Linked DNA regions of Oryzias latipes. The protein of the gene in region 2 interacts with the protein of the main gene of each other region in a biochemical or structural test. Links are inferred from orthologs where the notes say so. Each region holds a gene or a part of one and is shown on either strand. Other genes may lie near its edges. The genes, in order: slc16a3, discs large homolog 1-like protein, pbk and vangl1.

The links.
Region 1: the proteins of discs large homolog 1-like protein (region 2) and slc16a3 interact in a test that uses a peptide from one of them, tested with the Homo sapiens proteins (2 studies listed by IntAct, with this or other methods). The link is inferred for Oryzias latipes from reciprocal best matches to the Homo sapiens genes DLG1 and SLC16A3.
Region 3: the proteins of discs large homolog 1-like protein (region 2) and pbk form a complex in vitro, tested with the Homo sapiens proteins (2 studies listed by BioGRID and IntAct, with this or other methods). The link is inferred for Oryzias latipes from reciprocal best matches to the Homo sapiens genes DLG1 and PBK.
Region 4: the proteins of discs large homolog 1-like protein (region 2) and vangl1 interact in a test that uses a peptide from one of them, tested with the Homo sapiens proteins (2 studies listed by IntAct, with this or other methods). The link is inferred for Oryzias latipes from reciprocal best matches to the Homo sapiens genes DLG1 and VANGL1.

Annotation. Positions count from the first base shown.
Region 1 is NC_019866.2:24,924,717-24,932,359, forward strand, and holds the end of slc16a3 (monocarboxylate transporter 4), read right to left. Parts: intron 5,632-7,643; coding exon 5,488-5,631; intron 5,385-5,487; coding exon 4,777-5,384; intron 4,710-4,776; coding exon 4,529-4,709; intron 3,490-4,528; coding exon 3,146-3,489; 3' UTR 2,026-3,145; downstream 1-2,025. UniProt on the Homo sapiens protein: Proton-dependent transporter of monocarboxylates such as L-lactate and pyruvate. Plays a predominant role in L-lactate efflux from highly glycolytic cells.
Region 2 is NC_019875.2:12,825,560-12,833,143, forward strand, and holds part of discs large homolog 1-like protein, read left to right. Parts: intron 1-410; coding exon 411-543; intron 544-957; coding exon 958-1,114; intron 1,115-2,154; coding exon 2,155-2,257; intron 2,258-3,849; coding exon 3,850-3,964; intron 3,965-4,043; coding exon 4,044-4,220; intron 4,221-5,357; coding exon 5,358-5,424; intron 5,425-7,300; coding exon 7,301-7,400; intron 7,401-7,584. UniProt on the Homo sapiens protein: Essential multidomain scaffolding protein required for normal development. Recruits channels, receptors and signaling molecules to discrete plasma membrane domains in polarized cells.
Region 3 is NC_019882.2:247,580-255,730, forward strand, and holds pbk (lymphokine-activated killer T-cell-originated protein kinase), read left to right. Parts: upstream 1-3,153; 5' UTR 3,154-3,339; coding exon 3,340-3,479; intron 3,480-5,177; coding exon 5,178-5,317; intron 5,318-5,397; coding exon 5,398-5,567; intron 5,568-5,629; coding exon 5,630-5,759; intron 5,760-6,094; coding exon 6,095-6,277; intron 6,278-6,347; coding exon 6,348-6,538; 3' UTR 6,539-6,605; downstream 6,606-8,151. Other genes in the region: scara5 (scavenger receptor class A member 5), read left to right, coding at 507-691; N-acetyltransferase ESCO2, read right to left, coding at 6,674-6,806, 6,878-7,059, 7,128-7,271, 7,336-7,425, 7,801-7,932. UniProt on the Homo sapiens protein: Phosphorylates MAP kinase p38. Seems to be active only in mitosis. May also play a role in the activation of lymphoid cells.
Region 4 is NC_019860.2:16,765,252-16,773,342, reverse strand, and holds the start of vangl1 (vang-like protein 1), read left to right. Parts: upstream 1-3,745; 5' UTR 3,746-3,856; intron 3,857-3,983; 5' UTR 3,984-4,267; intron 4,268-8,091.

The DNA.
Region 1 (7,643 bases), on a different chromosome or scaffold from region 2:
CAACAAAAGCCTGAAGAACCAGAACACACAGGAGAACCGGACCTCTGACGGAACAGAGGACCAGCCACATTCTGGACTCAAGCCCACCCCCACTTTCAGCAGGAGCTCGTCCTCCCACAGGGGTCCAGAACTCCCGCGTGGTGGGGACGCTCTGCTCATGCGCCATGACCTCAACACCCGAGGGACACCTGCAGCACGTCCGTGTCATCTGAAGTTCTACGGTAGGAACCCACAGTGACGTCACCTGCCACAGTAAACACGCGCCCGTCCCTGAATGCAGAGAGAGTCCGCACCTGCGCGCAGGTAAACCGTCACCATGGAGACGGAACACGAACCATCGAGTCAGACGGTACCAGACGAAACCTGCTCTGTCCGGGAGTCCCGCACGAGCGCTTACCTGTTCCGCTGCGGACACTCCACGGTCCACGCCGCACCGTCACGATGGTGTCACACTCAAATCCCGCCGGCCAGAAACTCCGCTCCCGGCTCTTCTTCTAGTGGTAATGAATGCAGATAACATCTTTAACGCCGCAGTGGCGCCCTCTAGTGGTAAGTCCTGTAAGTGTTAATGCAGACATTTCCGCGATTAGAAACGATTACAATGACAAGAAGACTGCATCATCCAATTAATTACGTTCTAATTAATCAATAAATAAAAATCTTGAACAGATTTGATAAATTTAGGCACTTTTTAATCGTCTTTTTTATTTGTTTTTGTTGCTGAATTAGTTTGAAATGAACAAAAAAAATCAAATTAAATCAAATTTGAATAAGATATTTCAGAACACTAATAAATAACCCTTTGACACTCAGTAGTCTGGGACATTTTCAGAAGAAAATTATACTTTACAATTTCTATATCCTTTGTGCTATCCTAGGCACTTTAACATTGGGTGGGGTCATCTAGACCCCACAGGATAGCACAAGGGTTAAATAGTTTTTCAGTCCTTTTTTTTAAATATGTGATATCAATCCTTTTCTTCGTTTTTTAAAGACATATTTTTTAAATATATTACACATTTATTCCACAAAACTGTCTGAAAAACTCAATTCCGAGTACTGTGGTCCATTTAGTCATTTTCTTACTGTATGTTGCTTTATAACTAAAGATTAAACATGTAGAGACAAAACAGAAAAAAATAAAAATCCACAAACAAAGTAGAGACGAGGTCAAAACAATGTGAAAAATGTCTGACAGCTCCACTAAACTGATTTGGGGTTTCACAATCTTATTTTCAAAGCTAAGTCCCTGATGAGTTCAGGGACCGTGAATGACACGGGAAAGACCAGCATCTGCTGGATGGTTTCAGACGTTTGACGGATTCATCGTCTCAGTTTTCAAACAGTCAGGATTTCTAAAGTCTCAGAGATGCTCAAGTGTTGCAAGTTTGTTCCTCATAAGTTTTCCAAACATTTATCTGTGTTTTTAATTATTATTTTTAGATGTTATAGCAACAGAACAGGACGCTCTCCAAGAACAGGCGGCACTTACGTTAGGACTGGATTCTCATGCTTTCACTGAGCGGTTCTGGTTCTGGTTCTGGTCAGGTGCTGTGAAGCCTCAATCAGGTTCAATCTGAGCGCCTTGCTGTTCCTCCCCAGCAGGAGTCCAGAGCGGTCGGTTCTGACCCCATACGGGTTTGCTGGGGTGTTTTATGTCTGGGCTTCCTCCTTTGACCCCCACCCTCTTTGTCGTTGGGACATCTTCAGATTCTGACTGGCGTTCCTGTCTGGGATTCAATGATTTGGTTTTTTTTGCAGTTCAGTCAGGATGGTTTTGGTGAACGTCGAGCTGAGAGGATTTTATCGTTTTATTGCTGTTTTTATGTTCAACTTTGTGTTTTTTCTGCCGTTTCTTCATCTTAAACGTTTGTTTTCTTCGTCTGGTGTTGAACATAACTCAATAAATGATTCCGGTTTTATCTGCAGGCCTCCTAGATGGATGGAAACACGGTTTAAAAAAAGTTCCTTGACTTGAATCTGTCTGTGAACTTCAGAAAGGAATTCTCATGAATCCACAGAAACTTAAGAGACTAAATATTATCCTTTTTAATACAGCTTCAGTAAAACAGACGTACAGACAACACTGGACACTGAGGCAGCGACATTCACCACCCTCCTCCTCCTCACTCTTCATCACTGAGGGGAAAGCAGCATTTCTTGGGGACAAACGACGACACCGGAGTGAAGAAGCACGAGACAAACGTCGCCTCCCCCCCGTTCAGGACTCCCACAGCAGGGGGGCCAGCACTGACCCCCCCCCCACACACACACACAGACAGCTGTGACACAAAAATGTGAGCAAGACGCCACACAACAAACACAACAGAAACACACTTCTGGCTCCATCAAAGCTCTTTGCAACGTCGAACAGCGAAAGCAGCGTGTGGGTTCGTTCAGGACCGAAATGAGTTTCCCATGAGCCTTTGTGCTCTGTGGATGCGTCCCACCCGCCCCCAAACCTCCGGCTGATCCGCTTCCATCCCCAGAAAAGGTGACGGGAGGCTGAAAGGGCTCATGGGGGTTTGTGAAACGGGTGAGTTGGGCTGCTTTTGGTCTTCATCTGAGAGGGCCGGGGGGGGGGTCGCACAAAGTTGTGTTTTGCAGCTTGGGGAGTTCCTGCCTCTGTTGCCATGGGAACAGCCTCCGGACATCAACAACAAGGCGGAGGAATTTCAAAACAAAAGGTGGGTCCAGGAGAAGATGCGGCTGCGGTCTTCAGGTCTTATTGACTCTGTTTGGGACGTCCCGACATTGTCGGCCCCCTCCAGAGTTTTGGTCTCCATCAGTAAAGGGTTAAATAAAACTGAAAGCTATTGCTAAAACCCCCCGCCGACTCCTCCAAGCTATTGAATCAGTGCAAACGGCGTCCCGGTGTGATGAACTAACAGTAGGAACAGGATGTGGTCCCGCTGGTCCCTCGGAGGTCTTGGCTGGTGGCGGGCGCCACACGGCGGTTCTGCAGCGACTTCAGGCACAAACTTCTGTTACGAAGGTCTGACCGGCATTGGCTTGGGGATGTTGCAAAGGCAGTGGCTTCAATCCCTCCCCACCAAAACACAGAACAACACCTGGAATAAACATGGAATTATACGAAAAGCATTTCAGCTGGGATGGCGGCGGTTAAGCCCCTCCCTATTCCGCCTCACAGGCACGTTTCAGGACTGGCCGCCATGCTGCCGTTCGGCTGAGGTTCTTTGAGGAACCTCTCCACTTCCTGTGTGTTCACCATCACGCTCTTTGGCCTGACCTCCTCCCCCCTTTCAGCCCCTAACTCCTCCTCCTCCTCGCCTTCATCCCCCTCCCCACTCCTGCTGCAGGCGTTTGCTTCGGAGTCGTCTGTCACTGCGTTGCCCTCCGGCTTGACTTCCGGCGCTATCTTGATGAACAGGAAGTTACAGGTGGCCAAAACCACCGCTGAGAGCACGACCTCACATCCTGCCAGCAGGAAGATGGTCATGTAGTTGTGTGTGGCGTCGAGCAGCCGACCTGCGAAAGCAAAGAGAAGCAGGAAACCCGTCAGCGACCGAGATGAAGGCTGCGCTGGAGCCGGACGGTCATCAGACTCTCATAAATAGAATCTGATGACCTGAAAATGTTGGTTAAGCGCCCCAGCCCCCCCGCCCCACCGCCACAGGTCACGCTGATGTTTCAGCGCAGCTCCAACCTGAAGTACGGAGGTGGAAACCCAAACCAACAGTGTTTTCACTGGAGAATGCAGACGTGACCATGCGGCTCTATGGGAAGCCTTTTTAAAACTTGATTACAATCTGACATGAACACCTTTGCATTGATCTTATTATTGATTTCTGCCTGTCTTAGTTGTATTCTGTCATATCATAAAAGTATTACAGTCCCACTGCGATCACCTTCTGATCTGCTTCCCGGTGGTATTTTTATGATGATGAGGCTGTTTTTAGCCAAAATCTAGATCGTAGTTTCTGCTACGATCGTAGTTTCTGAGGACATAGTTTCTGCAGAGCGGCAGGAGTTCATCAGAAGTTATTCTCTGAGGTGGCTAGGAGATCACGGATCCACTGACCTCAAGTCTTATTTCCCATCATCCACCTGTTTACCCTCTCTCCTGCTAGCTTACAGCCCTTCTCCAACCTAACATTAGCGGTGCATCAAAAATGGTGATCAGTATCAGATCCATCCATCCGTCCAGTTCTGATCCAGATTCCAGCTCAGACCAGAAAAACAGAGACGTTCATGGATACATTGGTCTGCAGGTGGAGGATCTGAAAGGGGCGGAGCTTGGAGACTGTGGCCCCGCCCAGCGTATTTTCTCCATCACAAATAAGCTCTTTTTATTTTGTCTGCTCCTGATTCACAGCAATCTGAATAAAAAATACTCAGAAAGGCAAATTTCATCTTGATTATCATTATAAATATTCTCCATCCTCATAAGAAGGAAATGTTAAAAACACAACTTTAAATGACATGTACCAGTGTCCTAACTTCAGGTGAAGGAACGGCAGCTTGAGCGGCACCCGTCGTTAACGCCAGCTCGCATTCTTGCACCCACCTGCACTCGGCGGCCCCACCAGCACAGCAATAGCTTCCATTAACAGGACCAGGCCGATGGCGCTGGAGAATTTCTCCGTCCCCACAATGGTCATCAGAACCTCAAACTGCAGCGCCCCCACCATTCCATAGGAGATACCGAAGAAGATGCAGAAGACCACCAGGGACGGGTAGTCTTTGGACTGGAAAGAGGTGAGGTGTTAGAGCCCAAAGCACCTGAAGACCAGCTCTGGACGAACACGCACTCACCTGTGAGCCAATGAGGTCGGTGATTCCATTGAAGAGCATGGCAAAGCTGAAGAGGTAGACGCAGCGCGGCCGAACCCATTTCAGCCCAGCGATCACGCCACACGTGGGCCGCGCAAACATGTCAACGAAGCCCAGGATGGTGAGCAGCAGCGCCGACTTGGTGTCTTCGTTCCCCAGCTCCTTGGCATAGCTAACAACAAACACCGGGGGCACGAAGAGGCCGAGCACCATGATGGAGGCTGCTACGGTGTAGATGACAAAGCCGCAGTCTTTGAACACAGAGAAGTCCAGAAGTTTGGCTTTGGCTTTCATCTTCTCCTCCTCTGGGCTCTGCTCTTTGTTGTGGTCCTGTTTCTTGACCTTCTTGGGGTCAACCAAAGGCTTCATGAGGGCTCCACAAACACAGCAGTTTAGCAGGATGCCACCCAAGATGAGGAAGCCCCCCCTCCACCCGTAGTGGTACTGCAGGACCTGGCCCAGCGGAGAGAGGCAGCACAGCGCCACGGGGCTCCCAGCCGCTGAAAGGCCGTTGGCCAACGGCCGCTTCTCACTGAAGTACCGGTTCAGCATGATGAGAGACGGCTGAAAGTTCAGGGCCAACCCCAGACCTGCAGGAGGAAACACAGCCGGTTGTCCACGTGGCACAAAAGCATTTCCAGCAACATCAAACATGTAAACTGTGTGGTCCCTGGAATCACAGAGCAGACAAACCTGTAATGACTCCGGTTGTGAGGTAGATGTGGATGATGTTGGTGGCGAAGGAGCTCAGGATCATTCCCAAAGACGCAAAGAGGCCGCCCACCATCATGACAGGCCGACAGCCGAAGCGGTTCACCAATATGCTGCACAAAGGACCTGCAGAGAGCAAGCGGTCATGCATGGTAAAAACATTCAAAGTTCCTGCATTTCCTCTCCTCTCCTTCCTTCTCCTTCTTCCACCAGCAGTAGTCCGGTTTCTACTGTCACCCAGTAGGTGAGTCCCTGTTAATGCGAGCCACGACTGATCCAGCATGAAAGTTCTGTTTGTAATTCACACAACGGGTTTGTCTTTGGCGTTGAGTTGGGGTCGGTTCCTGACACAACCCTTTGCATTTACTCCGGCTTGGAACCAGCACCCAAACAACTGGATTGTGCCTCTTTGTGGTTGTGTTCTCAAATATGCAGGAACGATTGTTTTTAAATGTATTGGATAATGTTCCTGAAAACATCCATACACTGTTGTGTTTCTGTGTCTCCTGTTAGTGATAAAGATTGGAGACCCATCATCATCATCAGCTGTCCATGGGTATTATGAGTGTTTGGTATTTTGTTGCTCAAATATCTCTCTTGTCAACATTTTGCTTCCCAGGCGGGTTGCTGGGACATTCCTCTTACTGTTAGATAGGAATGTGGTTGCTGGTACGATTTCCCTTCTGTCATTTGCATGGGAACCACTGGGACGCTACTCTCCCTGCATGTTCCCAGGAGACGTTCGAACCCTCCTGCATGTCCTAGGAGGGCGGGTGGCCGGCCACTGTCTGTTTGGAGAATATTTTTCATTTGATTTAGCAGAAAAGGGGACAGTCATGGAACGCTGTGTGTTTGATGCTGACTCCCTTGTTTGGTGGTATTTTAAAGTACTTTAGTGGAAAAATTAAAGTTAACTCTACGGTGAGTTCTACATTATTATGCAAACTGTGTTTAAGTGTCAAAAATAAAATTCTTTGTTTTTCAGTTAAACTCATTTTGTGTCTCTGGGCTCTTTGGACCACGGACACCAGTCTACGACAGCAGTGACCATGAATTTACAAAGCAGAAAGCACAGATGTAAAGCTGCTATTGTGTCTGGAGTCCTACCAACATTGAGGTGTAGGATCCTCCAGAGGCTTGCAGTTCCACGTAAACCTTTGAAAACGACCCTCACAAGCAGAAGTGGCTGCAGTGGACCCACACAGACATGAAGACTCAGTTTCTTGTTTACTGATGAGTGCCGTACAACCCTGGATGGTCCAGACGGAGCAGTGGGTGGTTGGTGGATGGCAACCATGTCCCAAAAAGGCTGTGATGTCAGCAAGAAGGTGGTGGAGTCATGGTTTGGGCTGGAACCATGGTGAGAGAGCTGGTCAGCTCCTTTAAGGTCCCCTAAGGTGTGAAAATGACCTCTGAAAAGTAGGAGGAGCTTCTGACTGACCACTTTCTTCCATGGTACATAAAGAAGAACCGTGCACCACACCATCCTCCCCCTGATGGTGTGGCCCCCATCCTCCCCCTGGAGCATCCCATAAGCCACTTGTGTCAGGATTGGACGGCCTGAACTTGCTCCTCCTGAAGTTTCTTCTCTTCTGGCCTCAGGAGTGTGGTCTTCCTGTTGTGACGTCAAAAAAGAAAACTAGGCCCCCTGCCCGGCGTGCCCCTGAGCAATCCTTCATTTCCATAGAACTGGTCCACAATGCAGACGTAAACTCTTTGACTGAAACGTTTTCTCCTTCAATGGTCGGACAAATGGATGGAGTCATTGTAAAGAAAGACACGCCCAACCTTCAGATTTATGGACACGCGTCTCCAGGGAAGGTCCACCAGTGACTGTGATATCTGAGGGAAACATTCCAGCTGTACAGAATAAAAGCAGAGCCAAAGACAAACGAAGGTGTTGTGGCTTTTGCACCCAGAAATAAGCAGGAATTGAACCACGAGTCTGTGGATCAGCCAGAAAGAGCTTTTCCTCTGAGGGCGTGGACGTTCACAGGTCTGCACAGCACAGCGACGGAGGAAACGCATGGGAAGGAAACTGTTCTAGACTTTAGCAGAATGAAAATGAAAGTAGTTCAGGTCAGCCGACAGCATCAATCACTCAACATTTTACTGACATTTAAAGAGACACTCTGTTG
Region 2 (7,584 bases):
TTGTTTCTTCCTTTGGTTGCACTTCCCTTTATTTATGTTTATTACTTATTTGTTTGACCTGTTTTTACATTATTCATCTGTTTTTCATCTTTCCCCAGTTTTTTTTTTTCAATCAAATGCATATCCAAAAAGGTATACAAAATGTTGTTGTTTAATTGACTGAAATGAAAAGCAAGGTTTTGAATCTTGGAATTGTGATTCTATAAGACAAAAAGGTTTGTTTGGAGTTTAAACTGCAGAGGATTCCTTTGGTGTTTCAGCTGGAGCTCACCTGTCTGCTGTAAACCGATCAGACCGTCTCCAGTTTCCTAGGTTCACTTTACCCCCTATTCTGCAGCTCCCATCTCATCCAAATGGGTGTTTCTACTGGCGCACACGTTTTTGGTTCACGAATGCTCTGTCTCTTCCAGCTTACTCACAGCACATGGAGAATCATATCAGCCCCCCCAATTTTGTAAGTCACCAGCTTCAACCACGAGGATCCTCGGGATGCTACTCGCCCACACCAATGAGCCCGCTAGCAGACGACGACGGTGTCACTCGGTGAGTACGGCAGAACACGCGCATAAATATTCATTCAAAATGGTTGATTGATTGATTCACAGATCATTCCCAATGTTTAGCTGTTTGTCCTAATGTTACCACCCTACAATTAAAGCCTCATTCAACCACCTCATCACAATTTATGCAAGAGAAAAATATCATCTGACTGCTACAGCTACTTTTTTCTTAACTGGTCTGGGTTTCTCTGTGATAGAAACATGAGGTGACCTTCAAAGTAATCTCTGCCTAAACAGACTCGGCTTCAGCTATAAAGGATTAAGACGACTATAATGTAACTGCAAGTGTGGGCTTTGTAACCCTCTGGCCTACTGGAGAGGAAGATGAGGCTGCATTCTTGATTTTTGTTTATTTTATTCTGACCTCCACAAATTTATAGCTATGGTTGCCCCACAGGGAGCCGAGGAAGGTGGTTCTGCACCGAGGGGCGACCGGACTGGGATTCAACATTGTGGGTGGCGAGGACGGAGAGGGCATCTTTATTTCCTTCATCTTAGCTGGGGGGCCAGCTGACCTTTCTGGAGAGCTGCGCAAAGGAGACCGGCTGGTATCTGTAGGTGTTTACACACCGTTATGCACCTTCAGGAACTTAAAAGCTCAAAAAGTACACTATGCATGATATAAACCCTTTGAGGTGGGATGTTCAGGCTGTTGCCTCAAATCTGTATCTCTGCTGATGGTAAAAATGTGACTTTTTGATGACAAAAAGACCAAATGTCAGCGTTAGATAAATTAACTGGTGTGTCATTTAAACTACAAACTTTGTAGCGCTGAATGTGGGATAGCCTATTTCTTTATAGTTGTTTCTTGTGTCAAACAAATTCACATTAGCAGAAAATAAGCTTTCTTTTTGTCATCTTTTGCTATGTCAACTTCTCTTTAAAACAATTACTGCAGGCATTTGTGTGTAAAGTTGTGCTTGTTTGCCTTTCAAACGTGCAAAATATAGACACTAAACATCGCCCACAACTTTGCTTTATGATTGTGTGCAACATCGTTTTTCTTTTAGCGTCTTCTTCTCCCAATTCTTTGTTCATTTCGCCAAAACCACTCTGTTTATTCATCGATTGGTAACACTATTCTGCTTGTTGAAAGGCCAGTAATGTGACAGTAATGGTTTTCACCTATCAAACTAAGATTTTCCCTTCGACAATTTGTTGAAGAACTTTCTTAAAAGATAATTTTTCATGCAAGACAAAAAAACAAGAATTTTTTGTTCAAACAAGGTTTTTTTTTTTTACTTTGTTTCGATTCAGGTTTTGCTGTGTACTGTCACTTTTTGCTTGCTTGGGGGGCTTTATCTGGCAACTCTTCCAAGTGGTGTTTTGATCCGTTACATAGGCTCACTCAGTTGTAGAGAGAGCGGGGATCAGGTGGAGGATCATCTAGAGAGAGGAAAGAAAGAACAGGATTGAAGGTCAGCGGCAGCAAGACGAGTATCTGTAAGGTGGAACAGTGAGCTTATGGGGAGAGAACATGTTCACGAGTGACATTACAAATGTGTAACAGGAAGAACTTCATTTATCTGAGTTTTTGTTTGCACTCTGAACCAACTCATTTGATGAAACACCACTGTTTATTCTCCGTCTTTAGGTGAACGGGGTGGACCTCAGAGCCGCCACACACGAGCAGGCCGCAGCCACCCTGAAGAACGCTGGGCAGACTGTGACCATCATCACCCAGTACAGACCAGAAGGTGAGGCGGACAGCATCACATGACTCCAGGCTGTCTCCCTGAGAGCTCTGTGGTACCATTTGTGGAGGAGCTCAGGGATAATGTTACACTGATTAATGCTAACAGAGTTCGGTTGGTGGTCAGGTGTGTTTTCTTCTGCAAAGCCAGAAGTCTGCGGTAAAACCACATCTGCGACAAATAATTTTTCATTATTTTCAGTGTAATTTGACTCTTGAAGTCGTCACTCCATCACCAGTAGAGATTTCACTGAAACTAATAGACATAGTCCCAAAGTTTTGTTTGTAAAAGCCATTGGTCACTTCAGGGACCCATTAGAAATTAAACCGTCTTTTTTGTAGATCAGTGGTCCCCAACCTTTGTCAGGCCATAGACTGTTTTTTCTATTTATTTTTAGCTTCCAGTTTTCCTTAGCGGTCATCCTCTGTAAAATACCTGCAGATACTCTAGACTTTATTTATACACTTTATGTAGGAACTATTAAGATATGATATAGAATTTCCCTTAACCCATAACTTTTAAAGTGGACGCTAAAATAATCAGACGCCAATTTCTATGAAGATAGACTTGTTGTAAAAGTATTGTACATCCGCGTCTGAATGTGCGTCTGTTTTGTACTGTAGCTGTATTAAAAAATAAGGGTTTAGCCATAAAACATTTTGTCCGTGTGTGAAAGAACACATGCACATAGGAGCACAAGCATTAATCCACACCGACACACTCAAGTTAGAAGTACAGTTCTTTTGGTCGTCATGAAATCAGCCAATCAGCAACCTTTCACTGTCTCCCAATTGGGGCCCTGCTTGGACCATCCAATGTCAGTGCCAGGAAAAAAAAAGTTTCTTTATTCTACATGAAGAAAAGATGAAACGGCAGAAGATTTCATCAGAATTTTCTAAAACTAATAATGATCAACACTTAATTTTTCTTTTAGTTGCAATGTCGTAAAGAAATTCATCAATTACCAGATTTGCCTTTTCGTCTTTTCTCCTTAGTCTAGAATGAGGAATTATTTTTTTCCCCCCGGCATGAATATCGTGCGTCTCATCGGCTTCTCCAAGCAGTGGCTTTATCCTGGTTCTGGGCTCTGGGGTTTGGACCGCTGCTGTAGAGCTTTCCACTGTCAATCCCATGAGTCTGTGCCATTGTTGGAGTAGCTTATCATAGCGGGCCTGTCTTTTTTTCTTCAATAGTTTTTCTCTAGGTCTGTCTCATTCCTGCTCTCATATTTGCAGTTACTAACAAATGCTTTTGATCTAAACAGATAATAGTAATGTTAAATTTGTTGATCTTTATTATGTTGTTTTGTTGCGTTTACAAATATCTATTTAATAAGTTTATTAATAGTTTACTGAGTCTATTAAGGTTTTTTCTTTTTCTTCCATTTAAAACGTGTTTCTCTCCACTGTCTTATGTTTGCTCAGTTTAAGGTTAACACCACAACTTCATACCTAGCCTTATAGGACTGATCTGGACTTAACTGGATTGTATTATTGGATTTTAACAATTGTATTTGATGTTTTTTCTTCTGAAACTGGTGCTTCTTGGATAAAATGAATTGACGATGTTTGTGTTGAATCTCTGTGGTTGTTAAGAGTACAGTCGGTTTGAGGCGAAGATCCACGACCTGCGCGAGCAGATGATGAACAGCAGCATCAGTTCAGGCTCCGGATCCCTGCGAACCAGCCAGAAGAGGTCTCTCTACGTCAGGTTAGAGCGGCGCTCCCATATTGGCCAACAAAGGCTGGGTTGACCAAAAGACCAATAACGAGCTTCTCCATGTCTACAGAGCTCTGTTTGACTATGATAAGACCAAGGACTCGGGGCTGCCCAGTCAGGGTCTCAACTTTAAGTTTGGGGACATTCTCCATGTTGTAAATGCCTCTGACGATGAGTGGTGGCAGGCCAGGCATGTGGCGCCAAAGGGAGAGCTGGAGGAGGTGGGAGTCATCCCCAGCAAAAGACGGTAAGTGGAACTTTTAATGAGATCTGGAGACGGGTTGACAGGTGCACCAGCATGTCCCCTTTCAGGTTGGCTTTTAGATCCACTTTTAGGCTTGCCTTCATGCCTGCGTTCTGCTCTAGTTTTCGGTCAGCCTTTCAGACGCAGCTTTGATCCTGACTTCGTGTCTGCATTCAGATCTCTGCTCAGGTCTACCTGCAGCTCTGCTGTCAGGTCTTCTTTTATGTCTAGTTTCTGGTCTGCCTTTAGCTCCACTTTCAGATGAGATTTTTATGTTTTTGGTTGGTCTTCAGGTTCACCTTTAGGTCAACTTTCACTTCAGGTTGGTTAGGTTTTCATAGTCAACCTGGGTAGAAGGCGCATCATCTAAACCCCTTTGGTCAGATCTCATCTTGTTTTGTGATGCATTCACTGGAACCCAGAATATGTGCATCTAGACATACAGTGGTCCCTCGTTTATCGCAGGAGTTATAGTCTAAAAATATCCCACAATAGGGTGAAATCTGCAGCTTTGTTTGTTACAATTATTATAGATGTTTAAGGCTGTAAAACTCCTCTCTACACACTTTATACACTTTTCTCAGATGCACATGAACATTTTCTCTCTTTAAACTTTCAAAGATAAACTTGGTAGATGAACAAGTCCAGTGCTATAGAATGGAACCAAAGATCATCTTTGCAAGCCGAACACATTCTGTCCAGGAGACATGGCAGGCAGGACAAAGAGTAACAATGGTGTACAGCCAATCAGGACGCAGAGCACAATGCGCTGTAAAAAAAAAAAAGAGCGCAAAATTGAACTAAAAAAATCATCAGATCTTTGAAAGGTGAATGATAACAAGGGACCAGTGCACATAAAAAAACACGTATTAAAGGGTAACATGTTGTCTTTGCCTTCTGCTCCTTAAAAGCAGCTGCTATTAACAGAAGTTCTTCATTTAAAATCCAGCTAAAAAAGTGTTATGGTTGGTGTTTAAGTTCTGACTTTCCTTCACACTCTGAGGAGGAAGAAGAGCAGTCCTTCCTTCCCGACTGCTTTACAGCTTCAAACCTTGGAACTAAGGAAGAGACGCTCCATGATTAAGGTGTCACATGGATGTGGTATCCATCCCTCTCATTCTGACCTCCTGTCCTCCACAGGGTAGAGAAGAAGGAGCGCGCCAGGTTAAAGACCGTCAAGTTTAACGCCAAGTCCCGAGAGCGAGGGGTGAGTGAGGCCCCAAAACCCTGTGGAACCCTGGTCCTGCCGAACCCCCCATCAAATAAGAGCTCTGCTCTGACCTCCACTGTCTTTACCTCTTCATCCCTTGTAGTAAAGGTGGACTAGGGTTCCCCAGGGCCGCGGGCTCCTGAGACTGTTTTCATGTTTGTCAGCATGACCGTGACTTTAACGCGTTTTCACCACAAGTACGCCGCTGCCAGCTGATCTCTGCCTACTAATGAGCGTCTGGAATAACAGACCAGCTCCTTAAACGCATGTTGTTTCAGTGTCAGCCCCCCCCCTCTCTTTCTTTGCTGCTTTAACACGAGGCACCGCCCCACCAACCCACACATGCATGGCACCCCCCCCCCCCCCCCCCCCCCCCCCGCGCCTCAAACAAACTGAAATGTCTGCTGCTCCTCTTCCTCCTCATCTCTCCATGGATTTTAAGATGATGAGACCTGAGTTCAGCATGTGAGCATTCAGCAGTAATAAAGAGCAGCTTTCTTTATTTGTGACATCAGCAATACCCCCACCCCCCCAGTGAACAAAAAAAGATTTTTAAGAGAAACCTCTGAGCTCCATTTCCAGCTCCTGCAGGACCAATCCAGTCTCTTTAAACTGAGCTGGACCTCACCCACGTTTCCATGTACCTGCACCTTACACAGCCCAGGACATGAACGTACACAAGCACAGACCGGCTTTTCCTCTGCTGTTCTGGGAAATAAAGCAAAGCTGAAGATGAGAGCCCACTGCTAATGCAGGTGTTAGACGTGCGCACTGCTTTTAGGGATGTAGATGAAATCCTTCTTAACGAATAAGATTTTTAAATGTCTTGAAGCACTTTTCATTGAGTAAGTGAGACCCCGCTGGTGTTTTTGACATGTCCTTGTGGCATTTTGCTGATGATGGAGGGCATGTATATTAAGAAAATTAGGCTTAAAATTGCATTCTGAGTATTTCTTTATTCAAATCGTTGTAAAACAGAACTAGACGAAAAAAAAAGGTGTTTGAAAAAGATCCTTTTGTGACATAGAAAATCCGAGCAAGCTCCCTGCTCCAAGCTCTCAGCAACAGGGAGGGGAATGGGGGCGGGGTTGCTCAGCGCCAGCAGTCCAACCCACAACTCACCATGTCCTTGGCAAAGCTCGGTGAGGGGGCACCAAGGGGTCTAAGACAGCTAGAAGCTGATTGAAGAGAATGGGGTTAATCAGAGGAAGAGGACAGTAATGTTCTGTTTTCCCTCACCTGACCTCATAGGTTTTTACAGAAGGACAGCTTACCTCAGTCTGATGACACCCCCCCCCTACCACCACCACCACCACCTTTACTCTCAGCATGTTAGTGCGGAGCAGCTGTGGTATTTGTCAAGTGTCTGCAGCCATTTGGAGACTCTGATCTTCTATAACAGCTTCATGGCCGCAGTAATGAGCTAATTCTCCAGAATAACTCAACATGAAACCACAGAGAAAACGTCTGTTTGACTCTACGCCCAACCCAGAACCTGTGCAACACCCTCCACTGCAGGAAATCAACTCTCCCACAGAGTAAATATTGATTTCAAACCGGAGAAAATGTGATTTCTTGAGATTTAGAAACTCTCTGGGATTTTTTTTATTTCTTTTGTTTTTGTTTTTTGGGGGGTGTTAGCAGCAGCCCAGGTTGCCCAGGAGAAAGTGGCGTGGACAGAACTGTCCGTGGTTCTGAAAGGGTCAAAACCATCTCTGCTGGTTCTGCATGCGCGTGCACGTTCTGCTGCTGCTCTGATCCCAGCGGCTCAGCTCCGACTCCCTGGAGGAGCTCTGCTCTTCATCTTCATAGCCAACGCGCCCTCATCCCCCCTTTTTTGTTGTCCCTCATCACCCCTCCTCCTCTTCCTCAGCAGTCCACAAATGACAGGCGTAGAAAGAACCTGTTTACGCGAAAGTTTCCGTTCTACAAGGGCAAAGAGGCGAGCGAGCAGGAGACCAGCGACATCGATCGTAAGTACCAGCATGGGGGGAGGGGGGGTCAGCTGGGAGAAGACTGGTCGGTGGCAGGAAGAGAGATCAGCTGGTCGCGGTGTCCACCTGCTCGCCGGCTGTCACGGCAGTAGGGCCTGGCCATGAATGTCCATCAAATCTTACTGTACCTCAAAGAGTCACCTGAACAGGAAGTACCCCACCT
Region 3 (8,151 bases), on a different chromosome or scaffold from region 2:
TATTCTTTTTGCATCATAGTCTTCTTTTCTTCTTTACATGAAGGTCTGAAACAGAAGCAGACTTCCAGTTCTTCAGGTGAATTTCAGGTGCTGCAGCATCTCTGTCAGAAGAACCGTCACACTCAGGGTCTAAACTTGGTTGATGAAATAGATCGGAATCGTTCCAAACTTAATAAATCGATAATTTGCCCATAAAAGTAGAGTTTGATCTTTTATGCCTTTCCTTTCCTTTCTAACACAAAACTGCAGGAAAGTGCAAGTCTGCTGGCATGATGCTAACATATAATGGTATATTTGAATAAACCCCTTTTGTAATTCAGGCTACACTTTGTTTACATTGATTATATTTGTAACAGTTTCTTGTTGGACCATCCCCCCCAGGGATGGGGAAGGGGACAAAAGTTCAGAGGTCCCAACTTCCTTGTGTTTGTGTTTGTGTGTGCATTGTTCTGTTTTTGTGCTGCAGAACCCTATCTTGACCCGCAGCTGTCTGTACCCGTTTGCAGGATCCGGTCTGATCTGGATGGACGATGTGGCTTGCACAGGGGGTGAAGACACCATCCATCAGTGCAAGTTTCCCGGATGGGGCAAAACCAACTGTGGCCACGTAGAGGACGCTGGTGTGACCTGCGCTGTCGGACCCCCGCCGGACACCGAAGCTTTAATGTTTCCTGAGATGGAGATGACATAAGACGGTTGGAATCTTCTGGGAAGGAAGTTCCACTTGTTCTCCATGACATACTGGTTCTCTCTTTTCTCAACACCTCCAAGTGCCTTAAGAGCAAACTGGTTTTCTCACTTTCGACTGAATGCACCACCTCAGCTTCAGAAAAAGTACAAACAACGAGATACACAACAGCAGCAGGAACGACAACAGCAGAGACGGCAATAGAAGGAACTGGACAAACAACAGAAGAACTACGTTGCCATGGAAACAACATAAAAAACCACAGAACCAAATCAATGAAGAACAGGAAAAACTCCTGCAGTGGCAGAAAAAACAGCAGGACCCGTTTTAAGAAGCTGAAATCCTGACAGAGTTTTGACTGAAATGACAAATCCAGCTTACAATTTGATGAAGCTGAATAGAAGCCAGACTGGGTTGGTTGTCATGGTTACTCTGTGAATATTACCGGATTAGGAACAGATTTATATGAGTTAACTAAGCTAAGTTATATCTTTGCTATGAATGTCTTCTAACAACAATGTGTGCTATTTCTGTGTTTCTGGAAATGACTAAGAAAGATGGTTTTAAGTCAAACTAATCTATTTGAGAAAACAAAGTACAGGAAATGGTTTTGAATTGATTAACTCTCACGTTTTAGCTTTTATAAAGTCATAGTCTACATTAGTAAACTTACATGATGTTGATGATGCAGACTAACTATAATAAAAAATACCTAAAGAAAGAGTCAGTAGCAGACTTCAGTGACGCTGAAAGAGTTTGGGTCGCTGCAGCAAACACTGACATCTAGTGGACAGGAGACATGATTTCAACTTGAGAAAGAACCAGATTATTGTCACACCAGAGAATCAAATGGTCTGTTGGGATTGGGAACACTGCAACCTTCTCTTTGTTATATCTGAATTAAAATGCTGTATGAAAGTCACTGAAACGGTTTTTTCTTCCTTTGGTGGTCTGGATTTTAGGTGAATTTGGAAATCCATTTTTATGGATGATGCATCTGCAACTTGAGATCATGTCATTCCTGCGCTCAGACCCACTAGACAGTGCTCTGAACCTTTTTCCTTCAATGATTTGTGATCTTCACTGGTGTCCATGGATTACAGGAAATCTTTCCACCTTTATCCACCTTTGTCATGGTAGGGAGAACACGTCAATGGAAGGGAGGGGTCATCTAAGACAGCACAAGGGATAAATGACATCTTTCTTGAGGAAGACAATGATTACCATAGACCAGGGGTCGGGAACCTATGGCTCGCGATCCATATATGACTCTTTTGATGGTCACATGTGGCTCGCAGACAAATCTTTAATTATAGTTTTTTTTTTTTTCATTAGACCAGTCCTTCTCGGGCGCGATGCGATGCCAGAGGCGCGCAGTAGTAGCGGTGCTTGGAGAGAAAAATTCAGCGCCAGCGCTATCAGTTACTATTATCTATTATTTCAATTCAATTCACAGGTTTCCGGGTGCACCCGGAAACCTGTGAATTGCCGTGCCCAAAACTGCGCGCTCCCGTCTCTGAGAAAGAGCGCGCAGTTGCGGGGACGGGATGTGTGAGGAAGAAAGCAGAGGGTGGGGGGGTTGTGAGGGCAGCAGGTGAATCGCGCTGGGATTGTAAAAACGTAAAACCCGCTGCCCGTCACTCACTGCAGTGTGTGAGTGTGTGTTTGTCTCCCCGTCTGCATGTGATCAGTCTGTCTCACATCTACAGAACATTCAGACCTACGATCACGTTTAAAGTCTCAACGCCTGCATGAAGCAGAAACTCACCACGTATCAACCAGACTAGACCATCAGCAAAACTACCAAGAGAAATACTCATCGTTTATTAGCAACAGCATAACGATGTTATTAAAAAGAATCCACAGACTTATTGTACTTTAAAAATGTTGAAATTAAATCAAATGCACACATTCACTTGTATATTTAGTTTTAAACATATTGTCGCGGACTGAGTTTAACTTGGCTGTTGGGCCGCGTTAAACGTTCTGGAGTTCATTAAACGCATCAAGCAGAGATCTGATTGGCTCTCAGTTCTGTCGCTCAGCCTGTTGTCAGGTAGTTTGGACCAATGGGGTTCAGCTATGGGCCGAATAAGGGAAATGGGAGGACTGGAGCGGGAGCAGGGGAATATAAAGTTGGGAGAAGCGCTCTCGTGTCGGCGGGAGAGATTCAGGAGTTGCTGAATTAATTGTTCGGCGTTTGCTGCGGTCTGCAGTAACCAGAATAAAGAACCTTAAAAGAGGTTAAGTCTCCGTGCCTCAGTGTGGGAAAAGGACACTACATTATTGTATTGCTCTTTCAAAATTACATTTAAAAATATGTGGCGTTTATGGCTCTCTCTCGACAAAAAAGGTTCCCGACCCCTGCCATAGATTAAGGGGATTCATAGATTAAATGACAATACGACCCCCACCACTAGGTGGCGGTAATACGCATCGGCAACAAGACTCAACCGGAAGAAGAGCCCGGACCAAACCGGAAAAGAAAGTTTTGGCGGGTGGTTTGTTTACTCCGCGGAACCAGTAAGAACATTTGAAAACGGAGATTTTCTTTAGTAGAAACGTTTCACTGACATCCTCTTTACCAGAAAACCGACCCCGGTTTCCGGTAGAGGCTGAGAGTCCGGTCTGGTAGAACGTTTACCGACAGAATGGCGTCCAATGGCGGATTTAAAACTCCAAAAACCGTCCGGACCAGGAGTTCGGGGGGAACCCCCGTCACCATCCCGGCATCGCCCTTCATGAAGAAGTTGGGCTGCGGTACCGGAGTCAGCGTCTACCTGATGAACAGGTGTGTGTTCCGGTACCTGTCCGGGGTGTACCCCGCCTTCGTCCAACGGTAGCCGGGACCGGGACATAGTGGGTCAGGAAGATAGAAACATGTTCTTCCTTAGACCTGCTTCAGAGGATGAACGTCATTACATGTAAATAGAATGTAACATTACATGTTAAAATATCTGAAGGAAACATCTAAAAGTTATGTTTAAGTCAAATAATCAGTCAGTAAATCTTTTAAGTGGAGTTTAGTGGATCAGGGAGAAAACAAGGATTCATTATTTTCATCAATCAACAAAAAGTATGGAAGCGATTCTGTAGCATAATTAAAAATAAAAACCAAAACCACAAATTTTCTAAATGAAGCTGCATTTTTTAACTAAAAAATAAAAAAAATGAAAAATCAATTCTTCTTGAGGTTTTGGCTTGTATTTTGAATTATGCTACAGAATCTCTATAAAAATGTGTGAACAAAAGAGAAACAGAATTCAAATCCAAATTAGTCCTCATCAGTTCATGTAGGACCTGACAGGAACTCTGCGGGTCCAAACATCCTGCTTCTCTGGACACAGGCTTTGTCTCATCCTTCTGCCGTCATGTGATCCCAGACCCAGAAGACAAACCGTATTTTCCTGTGGATCCAGAAGACAAACCGTCTTCTTCTGTGGACCCAGAAGAAGAAACCGTCTTCTCCTGTGGACCCAGAAGTAGAAACCGTCTTCTCCTGTGGACCCAGAAGACAAACCGTCTTCTTCTGTGGACCCTGAAGACAAACCGTCTTCTTCTGTGGACCCAGAAGAAGAAACCGTCTTCTCCTGTGGACCCAGAAGACAAACCGTCTTCTCCTGTGGACCCAGAAGACAAACCGTCTTCTCCTGTGGATCCAGAAGACAAACCGTCTTCTTCTGTGGACCCAGAAGAAGAAACAGTCTTCTCCTGTGGACCCAGAAGTAGAAACCGTCTTCTCCTGTGGACCCAGAAGACAAACCGTCTTCTTCTGTGGACCCTGAAGACAAACCGTCTTCTTCTGTGGACCCAGAAGAAGAAACCGTCTTCTTCTGTGGACCCAGAAGAAGAAACAGTCTTCTCCTGTGGACCCAGAAGACAAACCGTCTTCTTCTGCAGTTATTTCACCGTTGGCCTCGTCGGTCCTGATCATCCTCTGACGGCACCGCAGTTCCAGTTTTCCTTCAGACTTGACTTGCCTCCACGTTGTTTTTTTTGGCTGACAGTCCTTCAGGACAGACTTTTCCAGACGGGTGAACTTTAGTCTCACTGTCAGATCTGAACTGATGGTTCTGCTGGATGTCTTTTGGTTTCACTGATGTCTGCTTCTTCAACCACTGCGTCCACTTTTCTCATCACTTCTTTGTGCTTCAGAACGTCTGGAAGCGTCTGCTGTCAGATGTTTGTCGGGGACAGACGGATGCTCTAGAACCTCCTGAAGTCTTGACAGCGGTTTCCCTTCAGTGTGGCGTTGATGATAATCTGTTGGTTGATCAAGAGCTTGATGCGTCATGATGGGTGGGGCAGAGGCTTTCGGTCCAGCCAAGAACGGCTTGTCCGGCTCTCAAACCCACGCTTTCACTCAGGCACAGGAAAAGGTCACAGCTTCTGATGTTTTTCTGATGGATGGATGGCTTTTAGGGAATTCTAGGGGTTATGGGTGTGGCTGTGGATCAGTAAAGACTCTGAACGTCCCGTCCTCCCCCAGAGAGGAGCAGATGAACGCGTCTCCGTGGGCAGTGAAGAAGATCAACAGCAAATGTGAATCCAAACAGGCTGCCGTTTACCAGAACCGTCTGAAGGAAGAGGCCCGCCTCCTGCGAGGAATCGACCATCCCAACATCATCGGTAAGGAGGCGATAGACGGTCAAACGTGGGGGGGGGGGTCTGACGACAGGATGCTCCTGCACGGTCTGTTCCCTCTGCAGGTTTTCGCGCCGTGGCCACCGCCAAAGACGGCTCCGAGTGTTTGGTGATGGAGTACGGCGGGGAGCGGTCACTCAACGACCTCATCGAGCAGAGGAGGGAGCAGGGTCTCAAGGCCTTCCCCGCCGCCAACATCGAGAAGGTGGCCCTGCATGTGGCGCGCGGCCTGCAGGTGAGACCCCGCCTCCTTTTTTCTGCGTGCTCCTGCAGAACTTCACGATTTCCCTGTTTCAGTACCTCCACAACGAGAAGAAGCTGCTGCACGGCGACATGAAGTCCTGCAACGTGGTCATTAAAGGAGACTTTGAGAGCGTGAAGATCTGCGATGTGGGCGTGTCTCTGCAATTAGACGAGAACATGACAGGTGAGCTGTCCAGTCTGAGCATGTTCAGTAGGACTCAAGTTGATCTTCGGCAGCTAGCTAGTCCGTGTGGAAGCAGGTTATGTAAACTCACCACTGTGAACAAATACTTGTTTTATGGCCTCCACGTTTCTGGAGTGAATGGGCGGAGCTTCATACGAAATGACGGAGCACCTTTGTTGAAACAGTAAAAACATTTCCATCTAAAACTATTGAAGTGACCTGCAGCCTCATGCGGTCAGGCTGACATTGACTCCACCCCCTCCAATCATGTAACCACAAGAGAAAGCCTTTATTTTGAAAACCGCTGCTGTCCAGTAACAACTTCCTGTCTTCAGTCTCTGACCCAGAAGCAGAATACATCGGTACCGAGCCCTGGAAGCCCAAGGAGGCTCTGGAGGGGGGCGTGATCACGGACCGGGCGGACATCTTTGCCTACGGCCTGACGCTGTGGGAGATGATAACTCTGTCCATGCCTCACCTGGAGATGCTGGAGGAGGAAGAGGATGGTGAGGATGAAGGTGTGCGGTTTTACGCAGCCATGTAGCCGTCTTAGTTTGTGGGTCACCGACACTTCAGTTTGTTCCTCAGACTCCACGGAGAGGAGCTTCGACGAAGACGCCTACTACGAGTGTCTGGGGACGCGGCCGCCGTTGGAGGCGGAGTCTCTGGGAAGCTGCTACCAGAGGGTGGTGGAGCTCTTCTACGTCTGCACAGAAGAAGACTCCAGGAAGAGACCGTCTGCATCCCAGATCGTCCAGGCTTTGGACGGCCGGCACTGAGCATGCTCAGTCAGTGATGGACAGCGATGGTAGAATCAGAAAGGTTTATTAAAGTTCTGTACAACAACACGGGTCTCCACGTTTCTCAGAACCAACAGAAACGGGATTAAAACTCTGCAACTTCAACACAAACATTCAGGCAACAAAGTTGTACACCAGGAATGTGGGGGTGCGGCAGTACTGAGTGGCGAACAGCTTCCCATCAGGGGTGGGGTCAGAGAACGCCAGCTCCTCTGTGGTCAGGTGACTTCCAAAAACGAAGGAGCTCCTGTGAGAGAGGAGGAGCGTCAGGATTCAGGGAGTCGCCGTGTCGGATAAAAAGGCGGCGTGGGCCCCCACCTGACTGTGTCCAGCATGCGGGTGGCGATGCCCTGTCGCCGGGCCGGCCCAAAGACCCAGATGCGACTGATGCCGCACAAAGCCGGTTCTGGAACGGTGGAGCAGCACCAGGCCCGGTGGCGCTCCAGGATGTCGTCCCTCAAAGCCTCAGCTGCAGCCGCCTGCTGCACCACCCTGTAGGCCTGTGGGGGGGGGCACGCTGGGTTATGAGAGGTTTGGAAACAAAAACTGGCCTCATCGACACCCCCACCTGGCGAATGGGTTCAGCCACCACACAGCCCACCACCATCCTGTCCGTGTTGATGAACAGGTAGGTTTTGGACCGGGACGGCCGACTCAGCGCCACCTGCTGGAAACCCAGTTCGTCGTCCGCCACGCGCCGTACGTCCTCCGCCTGCGTACGGACACACCTGTCAGCCGGGTCCACGAGGACTGAGGACCAGCCGGTCCGGTTTTACCTTCTTATGGGCGTGTTTGGGGTCTTCGGGCAGAATCAGGATAATTTTTCCATCCCAGAAGTCGGCCACCACCCGCTCCTTCTTCCAGCCCTGCAACCAGAACACTGATATGACCCCCCCACCTCTGAGAGCAGACAGCGTGACATGGCACAACCCACCGGGTGGGGGTGCAGGGGGTACAGGACCTTCATGACTTCCATTACTGCACCAAGCAACGGAATAACCCCCCCCCTGAAGGAGAACCCCTCCCCACCATGACAGAACAAGCTGAACCCTGCTCCTGAGCTTCTAACTACCGTTCCAGCAGGTCTACCTTCCTCCTCTAACGCTCCTTTTTTTCTCCTCTGGTTCTTAAATGAACTCCATCTAACACTCCTACATCCCATAATATACACTACTGTAACCGTGACGGCGTCTGCTGAGACACTTTGGCGTACTAAACAGAACCAGCTGATTGGTTCTTACCACAAACTTGATGGAGCTGAGGAGCTTCAGGTGGAAGTGGGAATGCTGGAAGACGTCTTCAGGGTTGTCTGCGCTGTAGACCATCCCACAGGAGCTGCAGGTCGTCGCTCCAAAGCCTTTCTGACCAGCGTCCTGCAAACAAACAGTCTGTTCAGCCCTGCAGCTCCCCAAAGTAGAGGCGTGACGATAACCTCATCACCGCACGGTTTTTAAAGTTCTGCCTATGGTGATTGGAACTACAACATGAAACCTTCATCGTTGCTGATCATTTACTTTTTCTGCTAGTCCTGTGTTCAGACTTCAAGGGCTTCTGGGGGAAACTGCGACACCAACCCCCCTGCTGGTTCATCA
Region 4 (8,091 bases), on a different chromosome or scaffold from region 2:
TTGAGCTCATTTAAAATCGTTCTCAGTGATCCTTTCATTATGATTATTAAATGTGTCGTTTTCTAGTACATAGTTTCTGCAGAGCGGCGGTAGTTCACTAGAAATTTGCCCTCTGAGTTGTGGGTTGGGCCTCCCTGAGCTTCCTGTTGCTGAGAGCTCTCTGTTTACATGCTGTCCCGCTAGCTTACAGCCCCTCATCACCCCCACCTAACATTCCTGGTGCAGCACAATTGTAGCTATCCAGCCGTACAGTTTTCATCCAAATGCCAGCTCAGACGAGGAAAACAAAGATGTTCATGGATCTAGTCGTCTACAAATGAAAGCATCAGAATGGAGCAGAGCTGGGAGCTCGTGGGACACCGATTATACTTTCTACGTCACAAATACGATCTTTTTCAAACTGCATTTTTTCGTCTGCTACCGATTCACAAAAAAAATACTCAGACATAAAATGTTTAGCTTCAATTTCTTCCTGTGTCCTCCATCAACAATAATACCTTTTTTTTCTTTTTAAACTTGTCTGACGCTTTTTCAATTATTTTTCCATCAAAATATTTCACCTTTAATAAAAAAGATTTAGCTTTTTCTAAAAGACAAAATAAAAACTTCATTCTGGTAATGATTTTTCTTACACAAAAACATCCGACTTTTAAACAGTAGAACTTTTGTAGGTATTTTTTTCTTTTCTTCCAAACATCTCCATGAGAAGTTTGGCCTCTCTGGCTTGTGGTCTTCCTCCTCCTCTTCCTCTGCTCCCGCAAACTGCATCTCCTCCCACTTCATCTTCATTTTTTTACGCACTTTCATTTTTTTCTCTCACCATATTTACCGACACCCCCCAACCACCACCACCACCAACACCCTCGCCGCCGCCTCTAAACTCATAAAGTCCGTGTCTTTGGGGAGGGATCCATCCATCTTCAGGACACCAAATCGAATTGACCCCCCCACCCCCCACCCCCACCGCCCCGCTTCCTCTGTGCGGGACCATCTGGGTGTGCGCAGTCAGAGGAGGCGCGTGGATGAAAATGGGGCTCATTTAGATGTCACCAGGTTTAGATTTTTATCCAAAATACAACTTTAATTGATCCTAATCTGACTTAACACCATCTTTTAAAACTTTAGCAGAAAAATGAAGTGATATTTAAGACAAAACCCCTCAATGAAGTAGTTTAAAATCTTTTGTTTTTGGTAAAAGTGGCCTCTGTTTGCCAAAGCTCCTCGCAAGCACTGATGGCTTTCCGCCACACGGTGGCACTATAACCTCAAACTACACTCCTTGTTTGTTGGGATAAACATGTATTCAAAACGCAGCAAAAAAAAACATTTTTTTGGGAAAGTTTTATCCCAACAAAACAAAACAACAACTTTGTTGACGCTAAGCTGGACTTGAGTACGCACCTCCCACCCCGCAGATCGGTGTTTGTTTGGCTCTTTACAGAGTGAGAGGGGTCGTGCCCCAGTCATGACCCCCTCAGTGTTCTGGAGGGGGTGAATTATTGCTCACGGTGCGTGAAGTGTGTTACTAAAGATGCATTTCCAAGGCGAACGAAATATTGATTCATACACAGTTGTGTAATTTGCTGGGGGGAAGAGGGGGGTCTGTTGCTTTGTTACAGAGATGATGATGAGCTGCTTTCGTTTTGTGGCACAAAAGGATGAAGAATGGCAAGGCAGCGCAAACCGGTTGGTGTCAAAGCATAAGGGGAAAAAAAAGAAAAGCCATCACATCCATGTGCAGCCAAAGGTCACGTGTTAAAAAAAATCATCAGCGGCACAAAGAAACTTTTTTTAAATCTAGCATTAAAGTGTCTGAGGACTAAAATCCCAAATTTTTCAAATCGCTCCATAAAAGTCTTGATCTAAAAGAAAAACAGTTTTTTTTTCTTTTCTTAAAAATAATAAAAATGTAATCTTTTGCAGCTATTATACTAAATTCCAACCAAAATATCATTCCCATTGTAATTCATGGTGGTGGCAGTATCATGATATGGGAATTGGCATAAAAGTTTCCTTTTTGTTTCAAAATAAGATGGCACGGATAGTTATTTTTATTTTACCTTAGCTGCAGCAAAATGCTAAATACTTTTAACCCCTAACCTTACAAACAAACCAATTAAAATGAAAACCAGGTTGTTTATTTTTGATGAGTTTTTACTGTCAGAATTGTCTGATTTGTTTGCTAACTTGCAAAATTAGACTTAAACTATGGTGTGAACCAAACAAGTACAATTGCTACGCCTGAAAACCAGCTTCTACTGTTCACATGTAAGTGAACCCTACTGCGGGTCACTAAAATGTGAAAGCAAGCGCACTACCTGATGTAACACCAGCAGAGTAAAACAAAAAAAGACTTTTTATTATTAATCTATGTGGTAAAATGACGAAAAAATATATTGGTCAGAGAGAAATGATTTTCCTTGTTGATTGCCTCAAACGTGTCTAGCAAAACCGTAAAAAATTTGTTCGTCAGAAGTACGACAGTGGAAGGTATAAAAAGCTGTTCTCTTTCCAATTTAGACTGTGTAGTGTGCATGTGGTACAGTGGACCCTCGCTACGTCGCAGTTCATCTCACAGATTTTTTTCAGTGCACTTTTGTTTGTTTTTTTTGCTTTTCCACTGTCCACTGTGTTCAGCGTCGTGATTGGCTGTAGATTATTGTCAATCTCTATGCCGTTTGTCTTGTGCAGAATGCTTTCAGTTTGCCAATGTTGTCTAGATCTTTGATCGCAAGCAGATCCTTTGTTTCATACTGTAATACTTGATTTATTTTTGTAAAATAGGTCGAAACTTTGAAAGAATAGACAAAAGAAACAAATGACAAAGTGTGTGATGAGGAGATTTAGAGTTTTCAAACATCTATAATCCTATTTCGCGGATTTTACTTATCGCCAGATATTTTTGAGAACACAACTCCAGTGATAAATGAGGGAACAGTAGGGGTCTGGCGATACGATGCGTACCGCGATATGACCGTCACGAAATAATATGTATCGCAATACATCTCAAGTGTCACTTGTCATCTGGAGCCCACTACAAAGCATCACAATCCGCGTTTTCATATGGTACTGGCCGCAACGTGGCACCGATGTTTCGTTTGGTTCCCCGTCCCAAGCAAAACCTAAATAGTACTTGTTTCATAGTAACAAAAACCGCGAGGCTGACTGAACATTTAGCATTTAACACAAGCTGATTTTCGGGAGATCTCGTTTTGCTGCTCACAGAGGCTCAGTGTGCGGCGCTGCCAACTAGTGGTCAGCGGTTCAAGTGGAAAACGAGAGTCAGACGCTGGTAAAATATATATTGATATAAGTTTATAAATAAGTATCGCGGTATATCACGGAATCGCTTAGGGAACACTGTATCTGCACTCTGCCCTCCGATTGTTATGGACAGGTAGAAGTTGGACTTTTATCACGGATGGGTACAAAATATGGGGTGAAGGTTACAAACAGAATGTGGTTTAATTACAAAGCAAACAAAAACACAGTCAGATGTAAAGTCAATCCACAACCATAAACCTGGCTGTTGGGTTTGGGTTTGGTGTTGCTTTTCACACCAACTTCCGACCTTTTTAGAGAAGAGCTGTCTTTGAGCAAACAATGGATTTTCAATTGTGGTTGCCTTCAGTATCAAAGGAGGAGGAGTGTTTGTTTCCATTCTCCTCTCAGGAGCTGTCTCAAGGCCTGGTTGGCCTTATTGTGTGTCTTTCAGTGACTGCGTCTGCAATCGCACCACCCGTTTGTTTAGTTCCAGCCAGCGAGTAGCAACTGTTTACCTTGTTCGGCCTCGTGGACCGTAACAAAAACACTACCTTGAAGCAAGAAAAAAAAAGAGTCACACTGAAATAACAGGGTAAGATGCACAAACATGTGTACATTGGGTTCAAACAGGGAGTCGCAGTTCTGGATAAAATCTAATTGTTTTTATGTTGTGCATAAATACTATTTTATATATGTTGTTTATAACCTTTTGTGTGCAGAAATTCCTGTAAAAGCTACAGTTACCTGTAAATTCCTGAGATGAAATATCTCCTGCAGCATGCTCACTTTTATCTGAGCTCACGACAGCCCCCTAGCGGATTGTTACGGCACTGCATCCGGGAAGCTCAGCCCCCCCCCCCGTAGAAATTCCTCACTGCCAGGGTGATTCCTGCGGTTTCCAAGGGCTACTTCCTACTGTACCTAATCTGGAGCTGTGGAGGAACTACTTTACAACCTGTGGATGAATTATCAACCAGAGGGATGATATCTCCCCCGATAAAAGGTGAGTTATGATTTAATTACTGCCCCCTTTATCATGTTTATATACTGCAGCGTGAGCGTGGACTTGCCGTCTTGACGGCTTTCACGTCCCGCTTCAATTTCTAAATTGCTCAGAAATGCGTTTCGAAATGGATATGTCCCCCCCCCCCCTCCTGTCTTCTTGATGTTTTGGCGACATGCCGGATGCGTGTATTTGCTGGAAAACATCCGGGAACACGCCCTGGCCGTCTACCTGTGTGAACTTCGTTTGAATCCCCCCAAAGTCACTGCGGTGTGATCAACGGTCAGGCACGAGAAAGTTAACGCGCTCGTGTGCCGCGGCGTCGACTTGCTACGCTCGCCAGTGAGGCCATGTATGCCGAATAAACGCCCCCCAATGGACCCAGTTTGTGTAAAGACACCGGGTTACAGGGGGAGAAGTTGGCCGTGCTTGGCACGGGTGGGCTCGCTCCGCTTTGCTGGAGTACCGCAGCTCAGCTGTAAACTGTAACCTGCGGCGGCACACTTCACGCGGATTGATACACCGTATCTGGGGAAAGTGTTCCCAAGCACACCAAACACGTGTTTTTAAATTCATGTTTGGCCGTTTTTTAATAATATATATATTTTTTTATTTAACCAAAGAATTGATTGCTTTGGTGGGGGTTGTCAGGTAAGGAGGAGGAGGGTGGGTGCCGTTGAGGCCAAAAGGGAAACCGGGGAGTTTCCTGCCTTGGAGGTCCGCCTGCTGGGTCACAGGTGGGGACGCATCAACCTGCTCCACTTGTGGCTCTAAAAGTTCTGTTTTAGCGGCTCATTTCGAGATTTATTTATTGACTTGAACATTATTTCAAATGCTGAAAAGTTGTGTAAGAAAATAAATAAAATAAAAATCGTAAAGATAGGATTTATTATATGTTGAATTGTCAGTTAACTAGTTCCTCTCAGATCATGAAAATTATGTTCTTGTCTAGCCTTTTTCTGATAATGGAGGACATATTTAAATGAAGTTAGCTCAAAATCGCATATCTGAGTGTTTCCTTAGTAAATCGTTGTGAACCAGGAGCAGGTGAAAAAATGCAGTTTGAAAAAACTTGTAGGTGTGACGTAGAAGCTACTATGGCAAGCCACAAGCTCCTTGCTCTGCTCCATTCTGATGCATTCACTTTTAGACGACAAGATCCGTGTACGTTTTTGTTTCCTCGTCTAATCTGTTGTCTGGCTCAAAACTGTACTTCTTGATAGCTCCAATATTCCCCACTGTTTTTGTTGCACTGATAGGTTGGGGGATGTGAGGGGCTGTGAGCTAGCAGTGTAAACTGATGGATGATGGGATGATGATGATGATGAGGCGGGGTCACTCCTTGCTAACAGTCCCGTGAATTTCAGAGGCGAATTTCTTATGAACTCCTGCAGAAACTGTCCTTAGTAAAACAACAGATTTTTTGCATAAAACGACCTAATCATAATTAAGAGATGACTCTTAAAAAGAGATCAAAACGTGATCAGAGTGGGGCTTTAAAGAGAGGTTCTCTGAGGTCAATAGAGTTAAATTCAGGAAGCCGAAATACAAACTGCAATTATCAATTTCTCGTCCACAATGAGTTGTTGAACGGTCGTCCCTTCTGTGAATAAAAGGGGACGCCATCCATACGTCATAACCAAATCTAAATCCCTGATCGGTCAAAGTTTGATCTGGTTTAACTTTCAACAGGCCTTCAATGGCCGCACGTTTTGTACACCCCAAAGACTTTTCATTGACAGTAGTCGCTTGAATGCACTTTGCCGTAGCTTCAGAAGCATAAAAGCATTTTTCGTAGCAGAAATATGCATAAAAACATGTTTGCAATACTAACCCCAATGTCAGTGTTATTAAAAGCAACGTTTCAGACATGTGCTGTTGTTGTGAAAACCCAGGCCTTCATAAATTTCTTAATTTCCTCATCATAAATGATGTACGGTCATCAGGTGAGACTTTTACGCTTGAAAGCGGGCGACCATAGGAGAACGTTTTGTTTCATGTCAACACAGCTTCTGTCTCAGTTTCCGCTCCTGTAAAAGTATGTCAGGTTTGTATGAGATCAGATGGCTGACAACACCTTCAGATTTGGGGTTTTTGCTCTGCAGTGGTGCAGCTGTACAAACTATTTCATGCAGTCAGCCATGGTTTTTAATTCAGGAAGCGGCAGAAGCATTTCTTTAAAGTTTAACCTGAAGATGTTTTTCTCTCAGTCTTAGATAGAAAATGAACAAATATACAAGTATGATTTTTTTTCCTGTTACTTATTAATAATTCTATTTCGAACTGTTGATCAGTTTATCCAGGGTTGGTTTTTGTGTTAAAAAAAATCTGCAGGGAATAAACAAAACTGTTGTGTTTATCCCCTCAGTTTCTGTTTCCAAATGAACACAAGTTGAAACCCCCCAAAAAGGGCTAACAATTTATAGTTATGCAAATACAGCACAGCAAATGTTTAGCCTTTTGAAAAGCAACACATCATTTTATTATTGAGTGCTTTGACTAATTTGGCTTATTTCAAACAATTTCATCAATTAAAAACAATTTACATTTTAAACAGGAAGTGCCCACTGGTTCCAAGAGGACAAAATCCCAAAGACTTCTAGTAAAAAATCATCAAAAGTCATTCTGTTTATCAGAGTAAAGATTCTTGCTCCGCTTCTTTTTTTAACATGTTCTTCATAATCATTTTTTTCTCCATTATATATATAATTTTTATTGCAAGTTATTAAATTTATAAACTGACCCATCAGATGCCTCAATTATAGTCTCTCGTCGAATGTTCAAAACGTTCGATTGACAGATTTCGTGTTGCTGATTGGCTGATTTGTGACAGTATTTGCCGTAGCAACATTGACTCGGACCAATCACTGTCGACTATCTCCAACATGGCGATGTCAGTATCGTGGAAAAATGGCGACTGAATTGAGTTTATGTTGTTGGAGCCGGAAGTAATGTGAGACCTGGACAGGTCGCGTGTGATGTCACCCATTAAAAAATGCGTGACATCACATGCGACCTGTCCAGGTCTCTCCTGATTGACGAAAGTGGTTGCCAAAGAAATGAGGACTTGAACCAACTCGGACCAATCATTACTTACTGACTATTTCTGATTCCAGCATGGTGGCATTTGTTTTTACAAAAAAGGCATTTGACTTCATTTTTTTAGTGCCAGAAGCATGATTGGAGACATCACATTCACTCAGTTCAGATCTCTTATACAGTCAATGATCAGATCTCTTGGGCAAACTGGTTTGCGTTAATATAAAAGTTATGGTTTCCCTGTAAACCACCAATGATTTGGTTTGACAAAAGTGTGAGGAAAAACATCTATTTCTTTCTGATTAATCCTCCTTTCATCAACACCAAATTGGTTGGTGTAACTGTGTGATGTCTTCATGCAAAATGATCTGTTAAGTTCAAAAGCAAAGGTTTTTTTTTGTTAAACGTTTATTGCTTTTTTCTACAACACTAGTTTCAGATCAGACCTTCAAATCAAGATTTCTTAACTGCAGCTGGTCTATTTGACTGATCAGGAAGTCTAAGCTTATTATAACTGCTTATTTAGTCAGAGTCATCATACTTAAGGCTGTTTTTTCTTTTCTTATCGTGATCAGTTATCAACAACACGGGATCATCACAGTCAACACTGCACTTATCTCCCTGAATAATAGTAGGAACTCTCTTTTTTTCTTCTCCATTCATACCAAACTTCTCTGGGCCTTAATCAGTGAAACTGGAGAATGTTTATTAGATTGCACAAATCTAGCAGCCCTCATTAGCTCAATCATGGCCAACAACACATGCGCCACGTGACCGGGGTCAGA